Linked DNA regions of Mytilus edulis. The protein of the gene in region 1 interacts with the protein of each later gene in a pairwise test. Links are inferred from orthologs where the notes say so. Each region holds a gene or a part of one and is shown on either strand. Other genes may lie near its edges. The genes, in order: E3 ubiquitin-protein ligase TRIM23-like and G patch domain and ankyrin repeat-containing protein 1-like.

Region 1 (7,654 bases):
TGCATTTTGTTTGAATATAAGTAAAAACAAAATTGATTTTCCCGATAAGATGAAAAAATATTATGTCTAATAACTGCTCAAATAAAGAACAAAAAAGGCTTTTCCTTTTTTTTTTTACGGTTAGTACAAAGAAGAAAGGACTTCAAGATCTGATGCATAACAAATATCAACTAGAATTCCCTCTCCTCTCTTGATGAGTGTTTGGTGAGCCTCACAGTTCAGCCTGGTTTTACATTTAACAATAAATTATTATTATAAAAGACATTTTATGGTTATTTTGCTTAATATTTAAAATACAGTATAAGTTTTATTACCCTATGTTTAACATGTCTACCATAATCTTTACATATATAACACATCAAAGGATTATTTTTGCAATCTTCTTCTAAACAAGCAAATTCTACTAGATGCATGGGATGATAAGGACATTTTGGATTCTCTTTTGGTTTTTCAGATAATGGAACTCTTTTGTGTCTTGCTAATGTTCTTGTGGAATGTGTCAGTTCTGCACACTCTACACATAAGTGTGTACTACAAGTCATACAATATAACACAGCTGTGTGAAGTTCATTCTCGTCACATGGAATATCCAACTGTAATAAGAAATCATTTTAATATAATTACATTAGATGTATGTTTCATTATAATATTTTATTCTGATTGGCTAACTGCACATCACGTGTTATTCCGTAAGCAGTTGCATTGCTCAATACAACTTTTCACTCATGATAACACGTGCTCCAACAATAAAGTGCACAGGTGAATTAAATAATAAAATTTATTAAATTCGTGTTTTCATGATCATAGCTAAAAAATGTAATTATAAGTATTAAATGCTTCTTTTTGTAACTTTATAGGGTTGTAAAAGCGTTGACCGTGCATACATTTTTATGTACAAAATGTACTTTGGTCAACGCTTTTACACCCCAATAAATTTACAAAAAGAAGCATTCAATTCTTAAATAAATACTTAAAATCTACTTTTGTTTTTTTTATGTTTTGTTTTGCATCAAAAAATTAACTGGTGCTTTTTTCATACAAGCATCTTTTTAATTAAACTATATCAATAAAAGCATAAATATTATTTTTATGTACATGTACAAAGGGAGATAATTCAGAAATATTATTCACAAGTTGAGCTATCAATGAATGTATTGAAAAACCTTAAAAGAATACAGAATCCATTAAACAGGTATAAATGATTAAAAGCAAAAGCATGTGTTCTTGCAAAATATTTATATGTATTTCTATTATTATTAATATAACTATCTCCTAAGATTTTTTTTTAAAATATGATAAATTTAATGAACAATATATTAATTACATCCTATTTACTTAGCATCAATGAATCATTTTACTTATAAATGTTAGTTGTATAGAAGTATGCTTGATTTTTCTGCATAATTATCATTATAAACTCAAACACATCAGTTTTGTATACTACCTCCTTTTCCTTATCTAAATTTTGTTGTGCAAATAGATTAATATTTGATGCATTTTGAGTTGTAAACTGTAATTTCTCTAGTAGTTCAAGCAATGCAAAATTTTTCTTCAATCCCCATACTCCAGAATCACCAATTTCTGTGGGCTGTCTGTCAAATGGACACAGGATAGAAGTACCATGAACTTGTAATCTGGTCAGACACTGATGACAAACAGTATGGCCACACATCAACAACCGTGGAACCTTGTCTCCTTGGAAACGGAACACATCATCACAAACTCGACATTCAAGTATTGTCTGAAAATAAAACCATATGCATGCAACATTAAAACTATATCAAAATGTATACTATCAAACCTACAAAGTATGATTCAAATTAATATTTCGAAGATCAAATCTATACAGTGGTAAGTTGGCTGATTGGTTTGGTTTGCAAGTTTGAGGAGGGATAGGACCTTTATCGGGACTCCGGGATCAGGAGTCGATTTCACAAAAAAACTTACGACTAAGATTGATCTTAAGTCATGAACAAATCAGTATACTTACGATAAATCTTAATCGTAAGTTTTTTTGTGAAATCGACTCCTGGTGTTTTTAAGCTCGGGATTTCAGGATTGACCCTTTCGGGATCTGGGAATTCTTTTTTTCGGATTACGGGACGTCAGGATTTGCTTAATTTAAATTCGAGATTTCGTGTTTTTAAGCCCGAGATTTCAGGATCAGGACCCATCCTATCCCCCCTCAAGTTTGTTTGTACCTGTAGAAAACTTATTTCAAACAGAATAGCACATCCTAATTTTTACATGAATGGTGTTTATCGAGCCCATAAATTTATATATGATCAGAGTAAACATATCAATCCCCTTAAATAAACTTATGCCAATCATACCACACCTTCTTTTCAATAATTATTCTAGAAGGTTACCAATTAAACACTTTAAATAGATCTAAGAATATTGTCTTTTATTTGTATAACTATTGATTTTGTTTTAAGTTAATTAAAATCATACTGATAATTGCTTACAGTAATGTACATCTACTTCGTTTATACTTCGTTGGATAGTTGTCTCATTTGCAGTCATACCACACCTCATTATTTTTATATAGCTGCAGACTAAACAGTCCCTTTCCAGTAATTTCTTAACATGAACATTTTGGTTAGATCCATCATTATAAAATTGAGATTTTCGCAAATCTTGTTGGAATGGTGCATCAACTGTTTTCATGTATTTCAATATTTATGATGTAAACCCTGACAGCCAGACAAATAACATGTATGAATACCTAACATTCAATCTCTAGACCAAGTATGTTCTTGGTTGGATGAAATAATTATCACTTCATAAATATGTAAAATCTGTAATAAGTAAAAGTTAGTAGCATACATGTCCAAACAATCCTCCTAAATAACTCATGCGATGTGCAGAATTGTGTTCTTGGGTAACTTGTTGAATATTTTTCAACATTATTGTTCTTGGATTAGTTTCGGTATTGCAGTAATATTTGTCCTATAATTTTAGAGTGTAAATTTATATTCACAATGGTAGCCGCAGAGAATGCATCTTATCGTTGTTTTTCTCCAATTATACAACATAACAGATGTTTCTGTTAAATATTGATATAACCAGAAAAAAATACATGTACATGTATGTTTCACCACATGATGTCTAAATATCAATACATTTTAGATGCACATTTGAGACTCAAAGTGCAAATAAACCTTAGGCTTTCTAGGAAATGTTACATACATGTAGATAGTCAAGTAGTGTGATAAGGTCTTCTATGCTTTTGGCAGTTGCATGGATCAGACAGAATTCCACTAAAGATTTCATAATCTGAATACATGTATACGTTAATGTATAATTCTAAATTAAAATGGTTTTATTTCACCAATTGCAATGTTTTGTACTTCTGTTTAAGTCTTTACTTTTTAAAACTTTAAGGGTTAAACTTACATCTGCTACATTTAAAATTCATTTCAAGAAAATATATTTCAGGTATAAGATAGTTTACTTCAATAAGATATTGAAAAGGTTACACACCTTTTTCATTTGAATGCTTTTGCATTGTGTTTTATTGTCAAATTTAAGAGGAACTTAAAAAAAAATACTGATATCATGTGCATGCTGTTTAAAAATATTGACATTAAACTTTTTATTTTTCTTAAACATGTTAAATGCAATTTTAATCAAGTCTTATTGAAGTTACAATTATTTCCAAAACACTCAGAGTATTTTAATAAACAGAAGAAAATACTTTGATTTGTCTGAAGTTTCTTTGACAAAATCTATGACCTGAGTCTCCATTTTCAATGCACACACTTTACTTCTTTAAAAAGAAATTGTTCATGTCTTTGAATTTCTTTGATCAAATTGGAAAATTAAAGAATTTTAGCAAGTGACTGTTTAAACACCTGGGGGCCTAGATATATCTTTTTGCAGTCAGGTAAAGCAATAAGACAGATGGGAATCAGGGGCGGATTCAGCCATTTTAAAAAGGGGGGTTCCCAACACAGGACAAAAGGGGGGGGGGGGGGTTCCAACTATATGTTTCCATTCAAATGAATTGATCTGCCAAAAAAAGGGGGGTTCCAACCCCGGAACCCCCTGGATCCGCCAATGGGAATGGATGTGACTTCTTTGCCTCTGTTGCCCACAAGACTTGTATCTCAACATATATATATCAGTACAATGGTACAGATGCAGGCTGGGGTTTGGAAAACAACCCTATACATACATGTATATTGACTCATGTTAAAGGGCTAATCCCTACACATTCATATATGTTTCATTATAAATAAAGTCACAAGTTATTTTTTTAATAAAACTGAAAATACTCCTTGTTCAAATCTAACAACTTAAATAATGGCAAAACAGATAAGACTATCTGAAAAGCGTATTTAAAACAATTAGATCATAACTTACAAGCAATAGGTAAACTATTTCGTACTGGATGTTGAAAGGTCAATTTATTTACAATCTATTCTTTTAAATTTCATCAATTTACATTTAATCAATTAAGTAAAATACAAAAAAAATAGATTAATCTTAAATATAAAATGTACGTACATGAACATAATTTGATGAAAATTTAAAAAGGTAGTGTAAATAAGGGTTGTAAGCAAAAAATGTTAGAACTGCGCTGTTTGAACTAGTAAAACATTAATTTCGAGTGTTTTCCTGAAGAAATAATGTCAAAAGAGCTTCTTCAACTCAATCATGTGTCAATTGTGCTTTGTTAATGTATACTGATTTTACATACATTGTATCTGTCTCTGGTCCATATTTTATCATTGTCAAAACATCACGTAGGTAATGTACATGTATTAGAAAACTGTTTTTTTTTTTAAATAGAAAGCAAAATTGTTGACAGCGTAATTTTCTACAAATAATTAATCTAAGGCAGATATCAATACACCTACATTGTATGTCAATGTATGTGGCACACTTCGAATGATGCACTGTCCATGGAACAGTTCATGTCAGAATATCAAATTTATATATTTTTTGCAAGCCCTGGAATATACAAAAATTGATAAGTTAGACCCCCAACTCACAACGTCATTCTCCTGCTTGTTGGTGAAACAAAGAAAAACGTGTTTCTATCATTTAAAATTGACAAACACAATCAGAGAAATCGATAATCAGATTTTTTTTATCATGTATTTAGAAATATTGTAAAACCCCAGTTGCTCGACACAATATATTTTCCTTTTGAACTTTTTGGCTTCGCTCAATTGACAAAAAGCTTCATATTGCAAATTGCAGCTATGCAGATCCATATAATCGGTACAGATACATGTACCTGACACTGTCTGAAGAAGAGATTTCCCGTAAATTTTATTTGTACATGGTATATCTTATAACCAAAAGCATTGCTGAATTATACCAGCAGTCAGAACTTTTTCCTTGTTAAGATTTTACCAGTGTCTAATCTTATATAGTGCCTTAATCTTAATATTTGGGATGGAAAGTACATGTATGTGAAACAATAACAAACTTTTATTGTCCTCATTTTGGTCAGTCTAAAATCTATGCATTCAAATAATCAACTGGATCTGCTGATATTGATATCTGAATTATGAACAAATGAAGGTCAATGAATCTTTGATGCTTAAAACATACCCTGTCTGTTGTTTCCTGGTTGTTCATTTCCAATTATTACAGTCTGTGGTCTCTTGTTTTTATTCCCCAACCATTTGTCCCAAGATAGAAACTAAATTAAATGCTGCATTTTCCGGGTACTATTATTTTTTTTCGATCATTTTGAAAATATCTTTACAAACCAATCTAGTTGTGCTGTTTGTCATTTAAATAAGGACTTTTATTTGTATGTAAAAAAACGACTTGAATGTGATAAATGGAGAAGCTCCCGCATATACATTTCACAGCTTCCCTAACTTAGCTTTCTCTATACCGGAAGTAGCTGAAGAAGATGGAAGGGGCAAGAGAGAAAGAACACCTTTTGGCGTTAAAAGGTAATTTTTACTGATTATTTTATTACTTAAGTGTTTAAATATTGAAGTAAAATACAAACATTTAATTAAATTAGTAGACAGTAGTGTTTCTAGACAGTGATATTCCTAGTAATTGGATATGTGACAGTGTATCGTCTGCTTGAGTTGAATAATTTTCCTCTGCTAATGATTTTTACTCAACGACAATAGAGACTAGGGTGTAAAAAAACAGTTACCATTATTCAGACAAATGTAGCCAAATGTAGAATAACTTTATTTGGAGCAAACTCTGAAGATAGATGTAGATGTAAAGATGATAAACTAATTGACTATCAACTGATCAAGGTTATTAATAAATTCACCACAGACAGTCTATACCTGGGACTATACACCTTATCACTATTTGTACGCCATTACTGGACATCACACAGGTTCCCGTAAAATTTTGATGTCAGGCAAAATATCTGACGCCACAATGAAAAAGGGATTGTTGTATGACGTCAATAGTTTCGAGCGGGACCGATTCTGGGGTCAGCCGGGACTAGCAATAAGGTGTATTATACTAACAGGACTGGAAACTGATTGATCCGTTGAGATTTCATTGCTCCGATAGTAAATTATTGATTCACAGCTGTCAGATCGTGTACATGTAAACAATAGAATTCGGCAAACAAGCCAGCATATTTAGAAAAACTTAAAATTGGTGGCTTTGAAATAAAGAATAATTATTAAATTAAATAGTTTAAAGGCAAAATAGATATTGTTTACAAAAAAATACTAATAAGTAGTCAATATATTAGTGTTGAAAATAAACCAGATATAGTCTAAAAGCCAGCACTTTAATTACTTGACCGCTAAGAAAACAACGCTTCAAAGGTTAACAGATCATAAATAATCCTGATAAAAACAATAGGTGTGCAATAAAACAACGTTGACAATTTCAATTCCTAATTAATTCATATATAATAACATAAGTTACCCTGGTTTCATGAAAATATAGCCACATTGTTTAAAACTTTTGTGAACTTCCCTGTTTACACCAAAATTTCAATATGGCTGTGCATGGTCGGGCCTACTTTTGTAGTTGTAATTGTGGAACCTAGTGTACATATTTTCACGAATTCATATGCTAATACCACCTGAAGACCATTACTTAGCAAAATTAACCCTGATTATAATAAAATATTGCACACATGAAAAGGAGTAGACGATTTTAAAGGACCAGTTAAATTTATTTGAGACGTGCTTGTGGGTTCCAGTTGTAAGGAGAAAGAGATTTTTCCCCACTTTTCACTTTAAAAAGTGACAATAATAATAGGCAAATCCAAATTATAACCTATAAATATGATTTTACCAAAAACCAAACTTGCAAATCTCTTTTCAATGAAAAGTTATAAGAAATTTAATGAATCATATACTTTTTTCCACATCGTCCCTATGCTATTTTCAAGCTTGAAAATTTCAATGTTTATATGTTATTTTTCGCAATAAAGGTGGGATTTGGTGATTAATACATGTAACAACAGTTCTGTCAAATATCAAGATAACTTTTATCATTATAGTAATCATGTTTATATTATAATTAAAGATTATCATTTCTAATAACTAAAAATGTATAAAATAAAAAAACAAATTACTGAAATTATAAGATCAAGGCACGCTGTCACTGTCAAAACAAAATGGTGTATCAATAAATAGCACAGGTAAAGTCTCATTCTAACGACTGTGATGTAGATATTATTACACTGATTGGT
Region 2 (8,282 bases), on another chromosome or scaffold:
TGTGGAATAAGACATAGGGTGTGCTTGACTTTAGTGAATCAGCACAAGGTATTTTGGAATTTACAGGTTGCTTAGAATTTTTTGTAAAAAATAAAAACTAGCACATCATAGAAAAGCAAGTGAGTAATCTATGTTTCAAATATATAACAAACATCTCTGTAATAAAGTCTGTGGATTTTCTATAAAAATCTTAGTTTATTTGTCACATAGTACTCTTTTTCTATTAAATGCAATGAAACAATAAATAATAGTGGTTTGCATCAAGTTTCCTCTCGGTATATGTACAAAATGGCCTACATGTATCTCTATTATTCATTATATCTGTAGTTTTGATACAATTGAAGTTTGAAAATTCTGTACAAAAATGGCTACAGAAGGGGTCATAAACCTTGAAGGTTTTACCCATGTCATTTTTGGGGCTCTTTATAAATTGCTGTTCACCTTGGGCCTAGGCTCTGTGTTGTAGGCCACAGTTTGACCTACATTGTAAGTCTTTACTGGTTTGCAGTTCATTGATGTATACCTTTCCTTTCCTCTATCTTGATATATACATGTATATCATTAACAGAAAGCTTAATACTAAAATTTATGATAAAAGAGATGATTTCTCATTTCCTATCATTAATTATCCATTTTTAGATGGTGACGTTCCCTTGTCACCATCTTACGGTGTTTATATATCTCAACTTGTACGATTCGCTCGTGTTCATGTATGTAACAATCATGACAATGTTTTAGATTTTAACGAGAGAAATTTATGTATTTCTGAAAAATTATTACACCAGGGTTTTCGATATCACAAACTACATATACACAATGTAGTCAAAACATTTACTAAATTTTATCATCGATATAAGGACATCATTCGTAAATATAGCTCAACATGCAGACTTCTTATACGTTCAGGTATTTCACATCCAATATTTTATGGAAATATTCATGATATTCATTATAAAGCACAAAAATGTCAGTATTCACCTCAGAAGCTAACAAAACCTTAAATAGACTTATTAAGAAGGGATATACATGTAGTTACGATACTGTTGTCAGGTCATTAAAGATTGCATATTTTGGCGTTAATATTGATTCACTTATAAATAGGGTCTTTGCATCGGAACTAAACACATTTATCATAATAAACCTGTTGTTGGCATGACATGGGTTATGTTCTTCTCATATATGTATTGATGGTATGATACTAAACCCCTCACGGGGAGGATTGTGTCTGATATTCATATGATGAAGACATAATTTTCAATCAGTTTAATTGAAGTCTGGAGCTGGCATGTCAGTTAACTCTAGTAGTCTGATGTTATTTATGTATTATTGTCATTTTGTTTATTTTCTTTGGTTACATCTTTCTCACATCAGACTCGGACTTCTCTTGAATTGAATTTTAATGTGCGTACAATGTATTGTTATGCGTTTACTTTTCTGCATTGGCTAGAGGTACATATGGGGGAGGGTTGAGATCTCACAAACATGTTTAACCCCGCTGCATTTTTGCGCCTGTCCCAAGTCAGGAGCAATCTAATTAAAAACCGATCTCTCATCGCTCCTGTTACTGATATGTCGCGTGGGAGATCTAAAGAAACCCGCTTTGAGGTCACATGTGAGTGACCTCGTAGGTGTGTCTTTTTCAACCAATGAAATTGAGTCTTCCACGATCTTGGAAGTTTAACGTAAGGCAAAGGGATGTAACTCATTTTATTTACGACGAAATCGTCAGTCAAAATAATTCATAAACTTTTTTGATTGGCTTATTAATAGGTCGTCAACTCATTTGCATATCTTTATAAATTCATAACTTTTAGTTCACTCACATGTGACCTCAAAGCCGGTTTCGTTAGATCTCCCACGCGACATATCAGAAACAGGAGCGATGAGAGATCGGTTTTTAATTAGATTGAGTCAGGAGCCTCTGGCCTTTGTTAGTCTTGTATTATTTAACTTTTAGTTTCTTGTGCACATTCCCCATTTCCATTCTCAATTTTATTTAGCACAATTATACTAGGACCACCTGAGGTGACTGAGGGTATCGGGACCGTTCGCCCTAATAACATGTTCGCCCTAGGTCCGTTCGCTCTGAGTTCGTTCGCCCAGAGTCCGTTCGCCCTACTATAAAAATATTAATATTCAGGGCATTGACGTTGAATAAACTAATTCAGATATTTCTATGGTATATAAATCATGTATATTCTTGAAATTTATGGAAACATTGAAATATTTAAAAGTTTATGGCTTGTTTTTGATCATTAATTGTTCAATCACAAAATAATTCGGATAACTGATTATTGTGAAACTTGTCTTTTGATGGATTTATAATAAAAACAAACGTTTTATTTTGATAAAATATTCAGCTTGAAATTAATAAAACTAATGATGTACGAACTGTAAATTATGAAACGGATTTACAAGTTCATTTATTTATACTGCATACTTTCGTGATTGACTCACTGATTACAATTATTTTGTTAACAAATATCAATAAAGATAAATACATTGTATTCCAGTATTCTACTCTGCAAATCAAAGGGAAAATGATAAATTGATTGCGGCAATATAAATATTCTGTCAATTTTTCAACAAACTTTAACATAATTTGTTCAAACACTTAAAATAATGCGACTAGACAACAATTAGAAAAAAATAATAATCAGGGCAAATGGACCCTGGGCGAACAGGTATCAGGGCGAACAGGTACTTGGGCGAACATGAATCAGGGCGAACGGACCCGGATTCGTGACTGAGTGAAGCCAGACCAGGAGTCAATTTCGCAAAAAAAAATTTCGACTAATATTGGTAGTAAGTCATGGCCAATTCAGTATACTTACGACCAATCTTAGCCGTAAGTTTTTTTTGTGAAATCGACTCCAGCTGACCAACTCACCTGTTTTGTGTTATGCTGTTATGTTAACTAAGGCAGAACCATAGTTTACGTTGAGATATTGTCTCATTCATGTATACAAAACATTTCATTAACCCCTATGACTGATATATATCATAACAAATGGAAATCTTACATGTATGCTGCTGTTAATCTTTAAATTGGTTTTCCAAACGTTATCAAAACGACTTTTATTTACACCGGAAGTGTCTAATGTAATTTCGGGATCAACAACGGACGTGAAGTGAGCTCGAAAATCCGAACCTTACTTTTCTCAGACTTTTGTAGATCTTATGCATGACAGGGACTTTCTTTCTATCCTTAACTACAGTATAGAAAGTTCCTGTAAGTAGTATTTCGTAACTTAAAAAAAACACCATCCGACGTATTTTACAAGTTTGTACACATTTTGTTAAGATGCCTGTTATATAAATAAGCTTGTTAAGATGCCTGTATATATAATATTACAGACTAGGGGAATAGCTCTGGTAGCATGGATGGAGGCGATTACATACGGACACATAAAAACACATCAGCTTCCATTTCTACATTTTAATCAGACAAAGATGACGTCACAAACATAAATACAAAATACTGGCAAACGGGGAACAACTCTCTCTTACACACAGAAACATAATCCGACCATACATACTGATATATAACAATAAAGAAAGATGTAAAAATAAAAGGCTTTTTTATTTTTACATCTTTCAAGTTTACTATATTTTATTTTTTCATTTACATGTTGTGACGTTACGCACGTTATTGCGTCAATACCGTGTACAACTTCCAAGCCAGCAAGGACCGAAGCTCATAAACGCAGGACTTCGGGAAAGTTCGGAGAGCCGACAACCTTGCTTCGGAAGTTGTACCGTGTAATCAACAGTGGCGGATCCAGAAATTTTCATAAGTGGGGGCCCATTGACTGACCTAAGAGGGGGCCCGCTCGAGTCACGCTTCAGTGATTCCCTATATAAGCAACCAATTTTTTTCCCAAAAAGGGGGGGGGCGGGCCCCCTGGGCTCCCCTCTAAATCCGCCTCTGATCAACCAGTCCACGGCCTTATAAACAGCTTTTCTATAAAATCATAATAGTTAAGTTATATAAAATTTATATCCATAGACTTGACAGGTAAATACTATTCCGAAAAAACTACAAACTGTTTTATCATAATTTACAATAGTCTAAAATAAGGACAATATGTTGACAAAACGTCAAAAATGTGTGTGTCAAACGTAACCGTTGATATCATAGTACACGCATAATAACTTTAGCAGGGGTGTTTTTGTTCTTCAAAACAGTGCTATATCCGCGAAAATTCGAATGCATGATATGCTTAATTTTTAAAGTATTACAATATTACTGAATATGCGTTCCTGTAACGACCAATGCATCTTCGCTAGCCAAGGGTTACGATCCACTCTCGCTCTCTTCACTAGCCAAGGGTTACGATCCACTCTCGCTCTCTTCACCTTTGGCGGATTGAGCCAACATTTGTGAAAACAATGTTGCGCCATCTGTCGGAATATTTAAGTCACGCCCAATCCGAATACATTATTCTTGACCAATGGTAGCACTTGAACTCTTCAATTTGGAGGTAAAAACACGGTAGTTGTATAAATTCTACACACTTGGTTCTAAAGCCGGAAACGAAAATTTACGTCAACATTCATTGTGCATGAAACATACACAGGAACTTCTATTAGTTGATTAAAAACATTCAAGTTGTCACTAAATATAGTCGTATGTTTACGGATGTAAAGACTTGTTGCACAATAAACACGTGGCAATTGTTTACAAACACTTTCTACATTTTCACGCGATCATGTTCAAGGCGCTTTTTGATTGGATGCAGCGAGTTTCGACTGCAACCAATAAAAATCCTTACCCTGTGTCTCCGAAATGTTATCTCAATCCGCCAAGGGTGAAGAGAGCGCGGGTGGATCGTAACCCTTGGCTAGTGAAGATGCGACCAATGCTATCTTTTGGCAAAAACAAATAGTGTTCATTATGGTCAGATTTAGGAAAATGTTAAGTTTTCTGTACCAAGTCAGGAATATGACAGTTCTTGTCCGTTCACTTTGATGCGTTTTGTTATTTGATTTTGCCATGTGATTATGGACTTTCCGAATTGATTTTCCTCTGAGTTCAGTATTTTTGTGATTTTACTTTTTTTATCAAAATTTATAGGTTTTAAAATATAAGATTATATGACATTTCCGTTTGTGCAAATTATGCTCACAAAAGTTCATAGATAGACCATGTCAAAATCAAGTTTTTGAAGCACTCACACCACATATAAAAATGCAACGGCTTCAAGCAAATCCCACGTCTCAGTCATTACAGCTGAACGGACGTGCTGGGCCAGCTCTCCTTTACCCGCTATCTTCGATGAGGGTTTACAGTTAGATGAACAACGACATACTACTTAAGATGACAGAAACCAATCCATGCCGTACAGATAGACGTAGTAGTTGGCGTACCCGCGTTAACATGCACTTCAAATCCATTGTATCATGGGGAGTGTTATGCCGATTAACGTCCGAGGGCTGTATCCTAGGCTGTTGGGTGATACGACCTTCATTTCACTGCCTCACGGCTTTGGTTCTGATAACGCTTCCTGTCATCTTTAGAACTACGTCCACCATTCATCTACCAGTACTCACTCATCGAGGTTAGCGGGCTGCCAAGCTGACCAAACTGGCCCTGAAAGCAGCCGTTGTGAAGAAGTAAAATCCAAAATAGTCAAAAACCAAAAACAACTCACCAAAACCAAGATGGCGGCCTCCATATTGCGACCTCCACTACTTGTTCCTGACCCATGGCATCAAAATATGATAAAGCTCACCAAACGCCTTCGGGCACCGAGCCGACCGTGCGAGGGCTGTATAGCCAGTCAAGGTCGTTAAACACCACCACATATACAAATGTCTTGCAAGATGTCCAATCTCAGATTTTGCCGCTTTTTACTAATAAACTATCATTTGTGACGTTATTTATTGAAAATTTAGATTTTTTGCATGTTGAATAGTGCTTTTTCGTAATTGTACTTTAACTCTACTAAACAGCTAAATACTTTTTGATATTAATTTGCGTTGTCAAAACGACTTCGTTTTCAAAGAATTGAAATGTCTAGCAAGTTTGTCCACTGGACGATTTTCATACGTTTTCAACGTTTTCGATTCGGGACGCTATTTATGGTGGATCATCTGTATATATTTTACAAAAATTTTCTTGATAGTCAGTTAATATCAACAAGATCACACAGTATAAAAAAAAAAATCCAATGACTGGGGTTGTTCGTTTTGATGAGGTTCTTAATCAAACGCCACACGTGAAGACATTCAGCGTGGAAAGAAACATGCAAAAACGAAATTTGAACTTCCAGGTCTGTTACTAAAAACATCTTTCAAGTTTAATGTAAAATTGTCGACAATTTTTTCACTTAAACAAAGTCATCATATTGATAGATTGATTGTTGTTTCATTAACGTTCAGTGTCAAATATTTCATGTATGTTCAGGACGGACATAAATACCAGGCTTAATCTTTTGTACGTCAGATGCCCATTTTGTCTACAAAAGATTCACCAGTAACACTCAAGGAATAAAATTCCCTGTTTTACGGCCGGCTATACAGTATAGATTGGTTTACGATCTTCTGATTGTTGAAGGCCGTGTGGTGGCATATAATTGATCTATACCACTCAATTTTATTTGAACTCTGGTGCAAAGTTGTTCTATTGTCAATCATACCTAATCTCAGCATATACATGTATGCCGTGTATACAATACCCGACAAGTTTATGCGACAGCAATGATACTATTTTTGTTTTAGTAATGAATATCATTGACTATATAAGTTATCTTTGAAAAAACTTGATAAAAACCAACGCAACGACTACCAGTATAGTATACATATAGATGCCAAATTGTAAGCATGTGGTATAATGTAATTGCTCCTTCTTTGACAAAAAAAATAACCTAGTTTAAGATCTGGATGATATCCTTGCCTTTTTTAATTGCTATAATTATAGATAGTATGTCCAATTTTGAAAGAAAGAAGTAAATCGAATCCTGATATAAATCCTATTGTAGTTCTAAATCGCATATCAAAATTAATGGAAAGACACATATCAGTGCAATTTTATGATTGTTTAAATAGTAAACTGGTTTTGACAGTCAGGATTCAGACATATGCATAAAATCATTATAGATACAATGCCTAAATTTTATACGCCAGACGCGTGCCCACAAAGACTCGCCAGTGACGCTTGCATAAATAAAACCACCAAAAGGCCAAATAAAATACAATGCTTTCAGGACATAAAGTTCTGGAAGGTTTTACCAAATACCACAATGGTGATCTATTCCAGATGTAGTAGCATTCGTGTGTCACTGCACTTACCCAACTCATAGAAGACTGCTTAACAAACCACCATGACAAACAATTATTCATAACAGAATCGAGTCCGGAATCATGACTGAAGTTCTATTCTTAGATTTAAAAAGGAATATGATTCGTTATCTGATCTGAACGTATCTTATATTGTTCCTTTAGCACTCCGAGAAATTGAGTAATTTGATTAAATAAAAAGTGCAGCGCAACTACATTGTATTGGGAGCAATTTCCAATTGGATAATATGGCTTGTGCTATTTGTTTGTTCTGATATGAACAAAATAATTACAATGACAACTTGAAACTACGATCAGAATGAGTTTTACACTGGATGAACCTAGTTATTATCAAGATATTTTCGGAGAGATGAACTTCTCATTTGAGTTTATTTGCTTTTGTGTCTCAATTCATTTAGCTGACAATAGCGAAACGATTCTGTTTGTTTGTTTAACTCCATTCAAAAATATTTTAATTATAAACACATGTATAACATGTACCGATAAAATAACTAGATGTTGTATTAGAAGCAGTCTATTTCTGGTACTTCATCACCAATGGCCCTTAGTGCTTCTTCGTCGATGTCATCACTTATGCCCTTGGTAAACAGTTTGATACCCTCAGATTCCAATAATTCCACCTCAGAGTGTGTTTCCTGTTCATTTGTGGATTTCCCGTCTGTGACTAAGATAACAATTTTTTCCATTTTTTTGCGATATCCTTGTTTGGTTTAAAGTGGAAGAAAAAAAAAGAGTCGTGAGAATATCAATCAGATATATTAATATTTTATTCTAAAATGTATATCATGTTTATATTTTAATTATTTTATCATTAACATATCATCCTTTATCATTCCAACTTTTAATCTCCATTTGATAATTAAAACAGCGTTAAAAATGCACCAAAAATGCATATTCAATTTGTCTTAAAATTTATGATTTTTAGTTTGCATCTTCCTCATATACTAAAATGGATTGTTCACAATAGCTTCAATATAATG

The links.
Region 2: the proteins of E3 ubiquitin-protein ligase TRIM23-like (region 1) and G patch domain and ankyrin repeat-containing protein 1-like interact in binary tests that used the Homo sapiens proteins (3 or more experiments, as listed by UniProt). The link is inferred for Mytilus edulis from reciprocal best matches to the Homo sapiens genes TRIM23 and GPANK1.

What each region holds. Positions count from the first base shown.
Region 1 is NC_092344.1:72,201,436-72,209,089, reverse strand, and holds the start of E3 ubiquitin-protein ligase TRIM23-like, read right to left. Parts: upstream 3,062-7,654; 5' UTR 2,911-3,061; coding exon 2,830-2,910; intron 1,742-2,829; coding exon 1,445-1,741; intron 594-1,444; coding exon 315-593; intron 1-314.
Region 2 is NC_092352.1:27,816,754-27,825,035, reverse strand, and holds the start of G patch domain and ankyrin repeat-containing protein 1-like, read right to left. Parts: upstream 3,137-8,282; 5' UTR 3,024-3,136; intron 1-3,023. Other genes in the region: collagen alpha-1(XIV) chain-like, read right to left, coding at 7,806-8,002.